3 linked regions of the Drosophila melanogaster genome follow. The protein of the gene in region 2 purifies or fractionates together with the protein of the main gene of each other region. This does not show direct contact. Each region holds a gene or a part of one and is shown on either strand. Other genes may lie near its edges. The genes, in order: CG30281, CG10912 and CG5577.

Region 1 (4,757 bases), 4.1 Mb from region 2:
CAGTTTTGTTCCCTTCTGGATCGAACTCAGCAGTGCAGATCGGGCGTCTGCTCCTCCCGCGCCGCCCAATTTAAGACCACCCATCGCCGGAGGCGGTGGAGGTCCTGGCGGCGGTGGTGGTCCCGGGGGTGGCGGAATAGCCATCTAAAAAGGAAGACAAATATCATTGTTAAAATGGGCCTAAAAGAAAAGGATATTTTACTATATGTATGGCAATTTTATCTCTGCCTCAAGTACTTTTTGCTTTGAACTACGCTTCAATCTCATTTTCGATGGATACGAATCTTCGGGCCCTAAGAAATTGCCAGTTCTGCGTCCGCCTCTGCGAAGCTTTAGCTTAAGACTGGCTAACACTTTTGCATCGATCAAGCGACTTCCAAAGCCGAGACCGCTGTCACCACCCACACACCATAACACTCACACATGCTGTGTGTTTATAATACAATTTCTATACTTATTATTTATGTCTTGTTTTCTGTTGTCTTCAGATTGACGCCCCGATAAAGATACAAAATGGATGTGGAGGCACCGAAGCCTGAAATTCTCTAGTTTCTACAATTTCTTAAGAGTCACCAACAACTCAAAGCTCGGTTTTTAGATTTCACATTCCTAATTGGCCTAAAATATGAGCTTATGTTTACCAATGAAACAAATCCATTGGGCGATAATTTAATATTTAATATATATTTTCAACATTTACCCTTATCCCAATAAAACTAGTAATATTTATTATGCCCCTATGGTTGAAGCCACAATGGAAAATTTCAAGCTCAAACAGCGCGTAAAGCGGCACAGTTTTAGCTTCACTGGGGCAACCCACTTGAAAACCAGGCTATCCCACGTGATTCGAGCAAATCATAAATGTTGTGAATGTGTTGCCTTTGTTTTAATCACATTTATGGCTGTTTTCAATTTAAATTTCTTTAGCTTTATTTCGAACCACCCTTCAAAATAGCATTAAATTCACAGTAAGAGTTCCGTGAATGGAAGTGGCTCCAAATAATTATCAAGAAATCATAATCAAGTTATTTGAATGGCAACTGATAAGAAACGGCACAAAAACAAAGCCAACAATTATTTCCCTTTGTGTGCAATAAAATGTTTAGAAACGATCCAATCTCATTATATTCTCATCGATTAGCTGACAAAATCATGTTTCCCGGCGTCCCAGTTTTTTCCGTTTGCATTGCACTTAGTGTGATGATTTTTTGTCATGCGGAGGTAAGTTAAATAGGCGCTCAAAAAGTATACCAATACTTAATCGAAATAAACAAAACCCTCGACAGACGCTGAATTTGTTTGGAAACTTGGAGGCTATTTATGAACAGGCAGAAAATGCACTCTCAACGTAAGTTTCAAACAAAGAAAGTAGGCCTAAGCTTACTGTTTTACTCCCCAGTTTACAAGAATCACTTTTGCAACTTGAAACCAATGGCACTCTAAACACATCCCCTGATGTGATTTATCCAACTTCCTGTCTGACTTCTGGGGATCTTGAAAATGGCTTGCACACCCTGAAAGTTCCAGGCTTGAGTCCCTTTCAAGTGTATTGCGAAAATCAGTTGGCTGGACCCGGTTGGATTGTAATTCAAAAGAGGTTCAGTGGAAATCTGAGCTTCTTTCGCAATTGGAAGGAGTACAAGAACGGATTCGGCAATCTAATGGACGAGTACTTCCTCGGCCTCGAAAAGATTCGTGCCTTGACTGCCCTGGAGCCGCATGAGTTGTATGTACACCTGGAGGATTTCGATGATACAATTAAGCATGCGAAATTCGATGAATTTGCCATTGGAAACGAAGATGACGACTACGCCATGAATACACTGGGAAAATATTCGGGCACTGCGGGAGATTCCCTCCGCTCACACCGCAAAATGAAGTTCTCCACATATGATCGGGATAACGATCATGAGTTTAATAAGAACTGTGCATTTTACTATCTGGGAGGATGGTGGTACAACGCATGTCTGGACAGGTGAGATTACTGTCGGATAAACTTTCTCAAAACATAATCTCACAACTTTGTAATTATTCAAGCAACCTTAATGGTCAGTATATGCCGGGTGGGAAATACGAGGAGAGCTTGTTCGCCAGAGGAATGTGCTGGCGATCTTGGCGTGGCCACAACTACGGATACAGGGTAACCCAAATGATGATAAGACCCAAGTGCCGAATGATACCAGTGACTCAGCGGTGAATTTGGGCAAGGCGGTTTCACGAATATTGTTATTATTATTAGCTGTTCACTCCCTGTTGGTTTCAATGGCTTCGAGAACGTGAAAACAATTTGTTATGTACTTGATTAATATGCAAAGGTTGTTCCATTGAATCATCGCATTCTCGCCGAGCACATTAATCAGAATCTCAATTAGAACTGCGAAATATACTGTAATTCTCATGTTTAGTTGTCTCAACTTCCTGATCTACTACCGCTCAAGGCGAACTTGACCTACGATTTGTCAATGCAATTGATAAGTCAATCGAACTATATAGTATCGAAATTGATTTTCAAGCTATACAAATCTATCTAATCTAGATGGGTTGGAACAAGGCACGGAACAAGATCATGAATCTCTATTTGTTGTGTGTTTTAATTTTAAGCGGTGGCAGCCTCTTGTCTACTGCTCAAAGCAATAAATTGGATCTAGTCTATAAGAAAGCTGAAAGCATGGTTTCCAGGTTTGTGACACAAAACATCGTAGAGCTTTCAAGTTTAAACTATGTATTTTTCAGTTTAAAGATCAGGCTGGAAGAGCTAAAACAGAGCTACAAGGAAATCACAGAAGAAAGAGGCAGTCATGAGAGTAAGTTCGAGCTATTTTGGCTTCTGATCTTCTACAAAAATTAAACTAATTACATCTTTTCGTAATCGTCTAGCAGCAATTAACCCATCCTCCTGTCTAGCTGCCGGAATCAACAGTAATGGCATCCATGTTATTGAAGTTCCGGGTCTGGAACCTTTTCCGGTTTATTGTGACACTCGGCTGGCGGGATCTGGATGGACTGTAATTCAGCGACGACAGGATGGCAGTGAAAACTTCTATCGCTGTTGGGAGGAGTATAGCCAAGGATTTGGGGAGCTTAGCGGAGAATTCTTTATGGGTCTGGAAAAGCTACACTTCCTAACAACCGCGGAGCCTTACGAGCTGTTTGTCTATATGGAAGATTTCAATGGAGTGGTACATGATGCTCGATACGAGGATTTTGCCATTGGGAATGCATCAGCGTCCTATGCGCTATCTGTTTTGGGTAAATACTCGGGAGACGCCGGTGATTCGTTAAGGTACCACAAGGGAATGCCCTTCTCCACATTCGATCACGATGATACGGGTCACGGATGCGCCAGGATTTATGTGGGGGCCTGGTGGTATGATCAGTGCCAGAGGAGGTAAGAATATGATATGATATCTTCAAATGAAAAAGTCAAACAATTATCTTCGCTAGCAACCTCAATGGCCAATATTTGGAAGGAGGTCGATTCGAGCCGAAGATGTCGGGTCGTGGAATCACCTGGATGAGCTGGCGTGGCTACGACTACGGCTACAAATTCGTACAAATGATGATCAGACCCAAGTGTTCCAACAACCTACGAAGGCAGGGCATGCAAAATGCCTTAAACGCCCATTGAATTCCACACCGAAAACACCGAAGGGAAATCACTTTATTTCTTGATAAACACTATCAACATTTTGGGACTTTTATTTACAATTTGATAATAACCGTTTCCCGCTGATTTGTTTGTTGTATTATTAGTTGATTTTTTTTTTCAAACGCTGCTTTTCTACACGCGCACGTAAACAAATTGTTCTCTTCGTTTGCGAATAGTCTTTGTTTCTCGTCGAGGTTTTCGAGTGGAACGCGCGTTGCGCTCAGTTCGCAAGTTGAATTCCAACTGAGGAGCTCCAACGGCCGCGCATGCGATGCCCCAGCTATAAAATTCAAACAGAGAAACCGGAGGCCTGGGGAGAGTCTCCAGCGAGAAAGAGCCTCGGGTAATGAGAGATATCGGGGGGAGCGAAGTGAACACATTGATAAAAATATATTCGCGGGGGTCTGACGTCACAGATGGGAGCTCCATGGAGGCCTATGGAAATGAGTGACTGCGACAAAGACCAGAAGCCCAGACAAAGGGAGACCACAATTGCAGACGCAGACCACACTTGTCATCAGTTCCACTGATGATGATGAGAAGAATCTGCAGATCCGCAAAAGAAATGCTAAACCGTAAGACTGCCGGGCAGGGAAGGCGAAACGTGTGAAAAACCCCGACTGGGCTGTCTTGACTCATTATTGTGGCACAGTGGAACAGATCGGCTGGAAACCGGCAGCTCCTTAATTGCTGTCCACTGTGATCCCCTTCGCTGGCCTCCAGCGCAGATGATTCACTCAACTCAATCGCTTGATTCATCCAGACGGATTGTCGCTTAATTGAACAGCTGCTGCGGCGCTGGGAAAATTGGCCAGCGTTGGACGGAAGGGAAAATAGTATTACTATCTGTATTAAGCAATGAATTTAACATTAAACGTTAAAGAATTTTTGTATTTGAATTTTAATGTTTTTGAGCTTTAAATAAGAATGCTCTGGCTAAGATTTGATAATTTTGGACCGACTTCCTTTTACTCATTCATATTATACTCTTTACTCATCGTGTTAATATTTTGTTGAATTCTCGTTAAAAAGATAGCTTCCTTAGATTGACTTCCTCCAGTTTGTCTGACCATTGGCAAATATCTTGGGAGTTAAATAAAATGTTTGC
Region 2 (4,598 bases):
AAAGTCGTTATCAGCTTTTATTATTGGGCCAAAGGAGAAGTTTCTTATCTACATTTGATGACGTATAAATGTCTTCTCGATAAGCAGCTCTTCAAAATACTGTCGTCGTTTCCGTGTCGAAATTTTCTATGTCGTATGTTCGACATTTCTGGGTATTAGCAAGTATTGTATCAATTGCATTTATAGTCGGCAAATGTTGAATCAACAAGTACAACATGCCTAAGTACAAATTTATGTTTAAAATGCAATTAAATGTACGACAGTAACTACTACCGGTGTTATTAACCATAACAGTTAACAAGTCACGGTTAAGCGAGTTTTAAAAATAGCATTTAACCATTTAATAACCATTATGATGCTTACTTCCTCTTTCCGTACTTTGGATTTTTTGAATCTTTTATTAAGGAGCCCCCATTGATTGCAAACCATTGTTTTTGATTAGATGTGACTTTGAAAGTCAAGTTATCAAGTTTCCTGGACACTTTACCTATTTATGGCTAGCAATAGTTAATTAGTCACTTAGGCAATGCCTTCTTTTTCTTCTATCGTCGCGTTGACAGTGCTAAGTTAGTGGGTGTTATAAATTAAATTATAGCTAATACGCTAGGTGATTTTTCTTTGGGGTGACTCAAGTGCAAGGCAGACGAGTGAGTTACCAACCAACCAACCAGCCGGCTGACAGGAAGCAGACGCGGAGTGGCATTGGAAATTGTTTTACTACGGGGCCATTTACAAAACAATTACACTTATTTGTGCGCCATTTAACAGCTCGTCCCTCCACTGACAATCCATCAGCGGCTGTTTCTACCCATTCAGCGAAACTCTGAGGAACTCAAGGCAACCGAAAGCCGGCTGACGCTACTCGACTTCATTTCGTCCTGACAGCTTTGGAGTGGAAATGAATACTCGGGCCAGTCGATCCACTGGGCGAAAAATAATACGAAAACAAAAAAAATATCCTAAGGCCAATTGAATTAGCAGTATAATCTATTTTAAACACGACTTCTTCATATAAATAGTAGTATCTACCTCCACTTAACTCTTTTCTAAGTCCTAATTTTCTCAATACTTATCAAAGCAAAACCAAATTTGTTCCAGTGTTCCTATTTCCGTTGCAGAACAGTTGCTCCAAAAGGACTGCTTAGTATGCAGCTCAGCAAGGAGAAGAGCCAGCGACAGCTGACGAACTGCATACCTGCAATGGCAGGTAAATAAAATTAATCATACGCCCCGTGGAACGTTAGTGTTCATTTTAAAAAATTTGCCCAATTCAATTATTAACTTCGTTGTGTTGAAATTTATGATTTCATAAACTGTAATTATCTATTTGTATCGCAAATATATATCAAGAATTTTGTTATTCGGTTAACAATGAATTCTATTTGCAGAAATGAGGCAATATTCAATTATTTTGTGCATTATTCATAATCTCAAGAGCAATTATAATTGGTCAATCCTTTGTGTGGCAAAGGAAATAAAAAATAAATCGAATTCTTGGAACGGTCGTAGCCAGTTAAATTAAAAGTTGGAGGAATATCTTCCGTTACTCTTTCCCAACCACACACACTTCAAACCAGAGCTGTGGTATGATAAGAGGCATGGTGATCGAAATGATTAATGTGGCACAAATAAATTAATTGCCATTTAATAATAGTATATAAAATTGGTGTAAACAAGATACCCGTTGAGATAAAGAATGCTTCAGTAAAGAATAAAATATATCTCGTTTTATGAACTTGGTAATTTAGTTGAAAATTGGTAATTACACATGGGTGGGGTGCCATCACGACCTTACCAACGAATAGCAGTAACCCTAATTTTGAACTTTCAGGAATTTAAATGTCAAGTTTGAATAATCCGTTAAAAATATGGTTTGTTTATGCCATTCACGTGATATGTGTTCACTTCATCAATTTACTTAATTTTAACCTGACATATTTAATTCTTCAGTATCAGCACCAGTGTTATTTTGTTTTAAAGTCTTGTGCGTTTAAATTATTTTGGATAGTCAAATTTAAAATAAAATAAAATTATTCTTTATTATTATTATTTATTATGAAGTATTAATTAAGTATTAAGTATTAATTATTGGCGGCTTAAACTTACTAGATAAAAATTTAAATAACTTAATTTCCAAATCGTTATAAACATAATTTTAGAAATATAAAGACCATAAAATTAGAAGAAGAAAAATTCTAAAACTCTGTTTACTTATTTACGCGGGAGTCCCCTTCTTACTTTTCACGGCCCAAAGCTTAGTCATTCCCATTCAAGGTGCTTTTTGATGGTTATTATCTGGGTTATGCAAACCTGACTGCGGCAAGTGCCGAATAATAATGATATCAGAGGAATTTTCGCATTAAAAACTCGAATATTATTAGATTTACATTCATTCCGGCGGGGTAACAATTGAATGACCTCCAATCAATGACCGATTTAAAATGGAACGTCTCAAAACAGATACCCACCGCCATTTTGTCGACGTATGATTGTTTACAGATTTTCGAAGGAAATGAAAGTAGACCAAGTCCGGTGTGTAGGGTGAGTGGCATACTGATATGTCTTATCTGCATCAAGATAGGAGAAAAGCCCCTGCGATCGCTAAGTCTGTGGCACCCAAAGACTTGGCATAAATGCCTTGGCCAGTAGCCAGTTAGAAGCAAGTTTCAAACGAACCTCACAACGAGCAACATGCAGTCACATCTCATCGCCATCCTGCTGGCCACCGTGGCCATTGGCTCCTGCATCGCGAATCCCAACCTCATCTCTGGTCCTTCGCGAATTCTTGAGATAATGAGCGCCACCAGTGATATCCAGCGTAATAATCCACAACTGACCGTAGAATGTTTTGACTACTATAATGACGTATTCAAAACCGAGTATGCGGAGTATGTGGATGAGTACAATCTGTGCGTCGATAAGTATGATGGCGGTTATGAACAGGTTCTGGAACAGTACAATTCCGTTGTCTGGGACCTCAGCAATTCCACCTTCGAATCCTGCATGTTCCTGCTGGACTGCGATAAACAGAATAACAGCGAAAATGCTCTATCCTGCTACTCCACTGAGGTAAGTGAATAGTGATTTGATTTTTTAAATACAATTATTTGATAAGTCTTATTTTGTAAAATTAAAACATTCAAATTCAAATTAATTTTCAGGGTCCGACATATTCCAAGCAGTTGTCGAATGTGGCAGCCAATGCTTCGGTCTCGGTCAGTTCACTGCGTCAGCAGGTCGAAACACTGGTGTTCACCCGTGACCAATGCTGTTCTGCAACGTCCAGGAACTATGAGATCCGCTCCGGCGAGTCCTACGAAGATCTTCAGAAGTGCCTGAGCGGTGAGAATCCTGTGCCGGAAAGAAGCACCACCACTACCAGTTCCAGCTCCAGCTCCAGCACCAGCACCACCGCCGCCAACCCCACTACTACCACCACGACCCCATCTCCTTCAACCACCACCTCATCGTCTTCCACCTCCTCAACAACGAGATCTCCATCGACAGTTGCGCATTTTAGTTCCGTTGAAAACAGCAGTGGCAACAGCCAGCACCGATTTCCAAGAAGACTGGACAATATTTTCAAACATATTCTTTAAGGGTTGAACAATATAAAAGTCAATATCAATAAACTAAAAAGGAACATTGCAAAAAGACAATATTAATAGTGAACAATTAATAAAGTAAACTAATATTAATACTCATTTTTTGGGCTATAACTAGGGGTATAGCTAATGTTTAATGAAAAGTTTGGACTTACAATATTTTGTGGCATATCTTACAATTAAAATGAGATTGTGCTCTAAATAATGTTAAAGAAACTAAACACTTAACTTACAACTATATTTTATATGAGTTGATACAACTGTTTCAATAGCCATTTAAAATTCCAAGCTAGAATAATTTATTTGCCAAGAATACTCTTATCTTCGTCTGAATGGCTTTTTATCCGTTTTCAGTAAACTTCTGATGCAATTGAAAAACAGGCCTAGGGCCTTTGAGAAATGGCAATGGCTTAAGGATTGGCTCCAATCCTTAAACTAAACAGATGGAATCAAGTGATGAAGTCAATCTGGAAACTCAAACGAGAAACTAAAACCCATTGCAACTTACTTAATTAACGGACCGATCTAGGTGGAAAACCGAGTAGGAAACCAACCTGATGCGATGCAAATAAAACTTTTTGCATTTGCCATCAGTCCAAGTTTATCAAAGATCCAGCAGGACACGGACTGGGGGGAGGGGGGGGGGTTGGCATTAGCGGGGAATGGAAGGACAAACATGTAAATCAGCCTGGGAAAACTTTACCCCGGGCAGGACAAATAAAAAGGGCGAGGAAAAAGGAAATCTAGGACGGGACACTTTAAGGTAGCGGTAACAGTTAAATAAACATCAGAGCCATTTTCCTAGCGGTGTTTTTTTTTATTCAATTTTAATTGCATGTGGTGTTATTGTTTGTACAGCTGCCGGTGGCGGCCTTGTTGTCACTGCAATTAAAACAAATTAGAAGCGCTGTGCAAAGGGGAGAAGATTTCACTTTGCCAAAATAAAGCCAATAACTTGGCAAGTCCCAGTATCCTGCGTCCTTGCCGTCTTGC
Region 3 (6,445 bases), on a different chromosome or scaffold from region 2:
AACCGGGCGTGGGCTTGCTGCCCGGAGGAGCGAGCTTGGGCGGAGCAGCGGGTGTAATGGGAGCCACTAGTCTGGGATCGCTGGGAGGAGGACCTGGAGGACCCGGGCTGTCCAGCCTTAGTGCCAGTATGGGACCTGGCGTTGTGGGGAACATGAATAGCTTCTCCTCATCGATGCAGATGCAGCAGCAACAGCAGATGCCCATGCAGCAACAGCAGATGTCAAGTGGCGGTCTGCTGGGATCTGTGCTGGGCACTAGTGGCGGTCCAGGTGGCGGCGGCGGAGGAGGAGGTGGTGGCGGGGGCGGCGTCGGTGGGAGTCTGCTTATGTCGCAGTTTTAGGCAGGATCCTTTAGCAAAATAGACTTGGCTCATTACCTCTCATCAGCAGACGCACCCCAAATGGCAACATAAAAAAAACGCAGAGGGCCTCGGTCCTCTACATGCAATTTTCTCGATATCGTTTCGTGTCCTAGTTATTAATTTATGATTATTGTAAATGTAAAATAGTTTATTTCTGTAATTAGCCAACAATTTTTCGTTCGTTTTCGCGCTAGCTTAATGAGATTTATTTAAACGCAAGTTATGGTACAAAACGCAAGAACGTTTTCGCTCTCGATTCCAGCTCTTCCCTCCACACAAACACACCCCTCGCCACGCCGCCACAAAAACGCTGCTTTGCAACCTCTTTAATTTGCTTACCAACCTTGTAACGTGTGTAGGGTCAGTATTTCAATTAAATTTCTGCAATGGTTTGTTCTTCCAGCAAGTTTATAAACACAAAAGAAAGCTGAGATTCAACAAAATAAAAATGCCTGTACTATAAGTAATTAATTTTAGTGATTAGGCACATAAAACAATAAACAAGCATAAAAATGATCAAAGTGTGTGTTTACAATAGTTTGGGGAGCTTAGTTCATTTTTCGAATATAAGCATTTGTTGCACAGAAGTTCTGCTTCCAAGGAGCCCTTAAATTCAAATTTGGCGCCAAACACTTGTTAGCACTCTGTTGACTTTAACATGGCGCATTAACAGCTACGCTGAAATCTGACAGATAGTAACATAGCCTTAACAGGCGCCAACAGCTGCTTTAATTCTCAGGGAGTTTCTCGCAATCGAGAGTCAATTAATAAATTAAAAGTGATGTGTATAAGATAGTCGTCGCTGCAAAGCCATAGATGAGTTGTAACTTCGCCAGATTTTCGCGACAGGCAGCTATCAACATGTACAAGCAGTCGTGCACCAATCTCCTGGAATTATCCTCCGCCAAGGTGACCGAGTGGCTAGCAGGCTTCGACAGTGTAATAACCGACTGCGATGGTAAGTCGGTGGTGGGGATGAGATACTACTAACTCGCACCCACCCAGGATTCCCCCCAGGAAGTTGCGTTACATAAAGATATGTGTATACCACATTCTGCCCAAATACGTCAGCAGCCAATAGTTTCTGTATTGTGGCTGCGTCGTTTATTTCAATGTCAAAGAGTGAAGTGCGTGATATGGCGGGAAGTCGACTTTCGGATGCCCTCATATCTTGTTAATCATCGTTATATTTAGTAAAGAGTAAAGCAGTAAAGAGCCGTTTGATAAATTCCCTAATGCTCATAGTGATGAGCCCTAAGTTTATTAATATTAGACAATCTTATCAATTCAAGGAAATCGTTATTATATACGCAATATCAAAAGTTGTGTTCAACCCCATTATTTATTAATTTTATGCAATAATGCCTTCTTTAATCATAACAGCTTTTATTTCTTTTCGTTTATGTATCTTTGCGAAGTTACCAATTTACTTAATTGGAATTAATTTCAAACTGTCCTCTTTGCCTTTGAATGATTAATTTATCAATTTTAGAAATAAATTACCAACAATATGAGTATACTTTTTGTAGATATTGAGAAATCAATAACGCCCTTTATAAAACTAGCAATGGCATTAATAAAACTAACAACTACAAAGTGAGAACCTATTTAGCACCGTTCTTTTTTTAATTTTAAGAAAATTCTTCTACAATATTAATCCATTTTTTCACATCAGGTGTCCTTTGGATCTATGGCCAGGCCCTGGAGGGCTCTGTGGATGTGATGAACCAGTTGAAGGGTATGGGAAAGTCGATCTACTTTTGCACTAACAACTCGACGAAGACCCGGTCGGAACTTCTCAAGAAAGGCGTCGAACTGGGCTTTCATATCAAGGAGAATGGCATTATATCAACGGCCCATGCCACAGCTGCGTACCTGAAACGACGGAACTTCAGCAAGCGGGTATTTGTGATCGGAAGCGAGGGAATCACCAAGGAACTGGACGCCGTGGGCATTCAGCACACTGAGGTGGGCCCGGAACCCATGAAGGGATCGCTGGCCGAGTTCATGGCACAGCATTTAAAACTGGACACGGACATCGGAGCCGTGGTCGTTGGCTTCGACGAACACTTCAGTTTTCCCAAGATGATGAAGGCCGCTTCCTACCTAAACGACCCGGAGTGTCTGTTCGTGGCTACCAATACGGATGAGCGTTTCCCCATGCCCAATATGATAGTACCAGGCAGCGGGAGCTTCGTGCGGGCCATTCAAACCTGTGCGGAGCGGGATCCTGTAGTGATCGGGAAGCCGAATCCTGCCATTTGTGAGTCTCTGGTCACGGAGAAGAAGATCGATCCATCGAGAACTCTGATGATCGGAGATCGAGCCAATACGGACATACTTCTTGGGTTCAATTGCGGCTTCCAGACCCTGCTTGTAGGTTCCGGAATCCATCAGCTGAAGGACGTGGAGCGTTGGAAGTTGAGCCAGGATCCCGAGGAGAAGAAGCTCATACCAGACGTGTACCTGCCCAAGTTGGGAGATCTGTTGCCGTCGATCGTGAACAGCCTGACGGACTTGAAATGAATCAGTAATCAGTAAATAGTACGGACATGTGTTTGTATAGATTTTACATTTAACTTCAATAGACAGGAAAGATTATTAATACTTAACGCAAATTTATAGTGCAATTTATACCACAGAACAAAGAATATTTAAATAAATTCAAAAGCATTTTGTGAGACGGATGATTTAACCGATATGCCCGACTCAATTTGTTTTTCCGAGCGAGCTTTGTGCGAAAGGGAGATAGCAGATTTTCCCCAATCACCGTGAATCGAAATCAGCCAGCCCGTCGCCGTCGATTTAGTTGAGTCGCAAGCATTTGGCGAAGCGGTCTACGAAGCAAAATGTCCAGAGGCGGTGCTATCGACTTGACCGGCCTATCCGAGGAGCAGGTGAGCGAGTGGCTCCAAAGTTTCGACACGGTTCTCTGCGACGGCGACGGTGAGTCTCAAGGGCGGCTAAGGTGCCACAGAGAGAGGGTTCATTGGGCTTGTGAGTGCTGCTATGGAGCTTTTACCAGAGTTGTCGCTTCACTGAAAAAACAGAGTATAAAATATCGATGGTAATTTACATGGGTAAGGGGAAAAGCTTGGCGATCGCGGTAGCTAAAAGTTTACATTTCATCGGCCTGCTACATCGATTGTTACTGTTATTCATTTTGTAAGTGGATAACTTTAAACGTAAAATCGTTAATAATTAGAAAAAGTTGATAAGGCTTAACGCTGCTGAAATCATTTTACATTTTTAGGAATATATTTATACCTGATCAATAGGAATATGTTTATACCTGAAAATCTCTCTGATCTCTCGCAGATCATTCCAATTTAATGTATAAATTTCCCATGTACTATTGGGCTTACCAAACAGAAATTTCGTTCGTAATTATTTTAAAATAAAGCCAAAACTCGTGTTAATTCCAATATTATTTAGTTACTTTATAAAATATATCTCTCATTTCAAACCTCTTCAAATGACACCAAATCAAATATCCATTAAACGCACAGGCACCATATGGCAGGATGACACGGCCATCGCTGGTGCTCCGGATGTGGTGAATGCCCTGCAGGATCGATTTGACAAAAAAGTTTACCTGATTACCAACAATGGCCTAAAGACGCGACAGGAGCTCTTTGAGCGCTCCCAGCGCCTTGGCTTCCATTTACCCAGCGACCGACACATCATTTCGCCCACGGCGGCCATCGCCGACTATCTGGTTGGGAGTCCGAAGTTCGACAGGACCCGGCACAAGGTCTATGTGGTGGGCAATGCGGCCATTGCGCGGGAATTAAGGCAGCGCGGAATCGACAGCTACGGAGCCGGCGGAACAGATGAACTGCCTCCGGGCGACAAATGGCCGGACTTTGTGACACGCGAGTTTGGGAACCCAGAGGCGGCGAAGGACGTGGGTGCCGTGGTGGTCGGCTGGGATGAGTACTTTAGCTACTGCAAGATGGCGCGCGCCTGTCACATCCTCTGCAGTAATCCCGACGCCGCCTTTTTGGTCACCAACCGGGATGCCGTGCACAAGTATCCATCCTTTTGTATCCCCGGCACTGGGGCCTTTGTGGCCGGAATCGAGGCATGTTCGGAGCGTGAAGCCCTCGAGATGGGCAAGCCAAATCCATTGGTCCTTGAGCCCTTTATCAAGGCCGAGGGACTACGTACCGAGCGAACGCTTATGATTGGTGACTGGTATGCGGGATTAACACATCCTTTCAATCTTTCCTAATGAGTTTCTCCCGTAGCCTCAAAATAGATGTCGGTTTCGCCAGCAATTGTGGCATGCTATCGCTTCTGGTGGGCACGGGTCGTTACAATAATCTCTCGGATGTCCGGCTGGAAAAAGACAGGCTGCCCCAGCCAGACTTTTATCTGCCCCGTCTGGGCGATCTGCTGAACATTTTGTGAGCCATAAATCCATGGGACTCTCGCGCAGCAATCTACTCGTTATCAACTTCTTAATTCGACTTTTATTTGGCCTTAGTTGATGTGTTTACACATAGTTGTACATATTGTATCTGCCGGCAAGTACAATAACATTCTCTGATGGATACTTTTTTTACATATATAGAGTGGTTGAGAAATTGCTGGGTCTGAAAGTTATCCATGAACAAAACTAGCTAATAAATTTTGGAAAGACGACAATGCATATTGCACAAATAAATCACTAACCATTTGCGAATATTCATTTTTATGTCCGTCCCCAAATAATTTTCAGGCCCAATAACTTTTCTTTGAATTAACAATATAGGCTGAGTGACTTATTAAAATACTAGCTTAACCTTCTATTACTTGCCGGGTCAGAAAAGCAGAGACGGCAATTTCTTACTCGTTCCTATATCTTGGTGATCCCATGTAAAAGTTGTAATTTGCAATGAACTAAACAAATTGCTTAAATAAGTGCAAGTTCCTTGTGCTGTGACTTGCAAATCAATTATCAATCAACGTTAACTATTTAAGACACACACATAATCGAAACTATACAACTTATTGGTTAGCTGTACAACAAATTTACAGGACACCCATCGATGTGAGCTGCTAATTGTCAAAACAAAGCAAGCAAGTATCACAGAAGTTATATTTTTGGCGGTTTGCTTCCGTGTAAAATTGAAACAATCAAACACCTGTTTTCGAAAGTTTTTTACGATATTTTGACTGTTGAAGCACGACATTTTCGTGAGTGTCCGTTTTAACAAGTCCTCTGATATGTTAGAGTTGAGTTCTGTTTTCTGTACTTTAGCAATTTAGCGCGAAAAGAAATCCCATAAAGCGGTGTCACATTTGGTAGCAAATCAGAATAAGAGCGTAACTGAATCTGAAAAGTTAAACCCATCCCCTGCTTTTCCCAATCCCCCAACTGATTTTCCCCCCACGCCTTGTCTTAAGCTGATTTTAAACGATGCATGTGCAAAGATTTTATAGAATCGCAGTGTTTAAATTCCGCGACTCTGCGTATGCATCGCTTTCCATCAGCTTTAGTTGTAAGTTTGCCGCCGGCGATCGCTTAATGATTTCTTCGAGGACCCTGTCTAAATTGCTAAAAGGTAACATCAGGTGCTCGCATCCGGCGTGTTGGCCAAAATCCTTGAGCTCCTCGACAAGTAGCCGTACCAGTAGAACACGTTGATAAGGATGAATAGCAGTGGGAAGACGATCCTCGAGGCGCGATCGATCTTCGACACGGAATTGTACTGTGGCGTTCGTTTGCCCTTCCTTCGGGCCTCCATCTCCTCGCGTCGATAGTAGGACATCCTGCGGCGACCTCCAGTTGGAGGACTAATCCGAGCAGCCTGTGCAGCAGCTTGTGCCGCCGCAGCTGCCGCAGACGTGGTCGGTGCTTCGTTGGCCCTTAGCTGCGTCTGCTCGTCATCCTCATCCTCGTCGGAGTCGGCACGTGGCGGCTTTCTTCTTCGCCGCCAGTCGAAGAGACCCAGAAGCTTCATACTCCACAGACCATGACGCCTGTTCCGGGGCCTCCGATTCCTGGAGGTTAGCATGCCCAGCCGAGTGGGAGGCGGCGGCATGCTAATAGCGCACATGGACAGCGGAATGACTTCGTAGATCTTGGACTCTGTGCT

What was found.
Region 1: the proteins of CG10912 (region 2) and CG30281 purify together in Drosophila melanogaster (affinity purification with mass spectrometry, with the first as the bait; one large-scale study listed by BioGRID). This does not show direct contact.
Region 3: the proteins of CG10912 (region 2) and CG5577 purify together in Drosophila melanogaster (affinity purification with mass spectrometry, with the first as the bait; one large-scale study listed by BioGRID). This does not show direct contact.

Annotation. Positions count from the first base shown.
Region 1 is NT_033778.4:22,112,445-22,117,201, forward strand, and holds CG30281 (uncharacterized protein), read left to right. Parts: upstream 1-2,552; 5' UTR 2,553-2,566; coding exon 2,567-2,679; intron 2,680-2,733; coding exon 2,734-2,804; intron 2,805-2,880; coding exon 2,881-3,388; intron 3,389-3,444; coding exon 3,445-3,628; 3' UTR 3,629-3,745; downstream 3,746-4,757. Other genes in the region: Vrp1 (verprolin 1), read right to left, coding at 1-144; CG30280 (uncharacterized protein), read left to right, coding at 1,153-1,221, 1,287-1,348, 1,400-1,975, 2,038-2,197.
Region 2 is NT_033778.4:18,055,123-18,059,720, reverse strand, and holds CG10912 (uncharacterized protein), read left to right. Parts: upstream 1-2,655; 5' UTR 2,656-2,691; coding exon 2,692-3,069; intron 3,070-3,161; coding exon 3,162-3,599; 3' UTR 3,600-3,657; downstream 3,658-4,598.
Region 3 is NT_037436.4:17,838,150-17,844,594, reverse strand, and holds CG5577 (uncharacterized protein), read left to right. Parts: upstream 1-3,167; 5' UTR 3,168-3,211; coding exon 3,212-3,308; intron 3,309-3,871; coding exon 3,872-4,559; intron 4,560-4,612; coding exon 4,613-4,775; 3' UTR 4,776-5,917; downstream 5,918-6,445. Other genes in the region: MED19 (mediator complex subunit 19), read left to right, coding at 1-341; CG5567 (uncharacterized protein), read left to right, coding at 1,179-1,320, 2,038-2,888; Grd (glycine receptor), read right to left, coding at 5,918-6,445.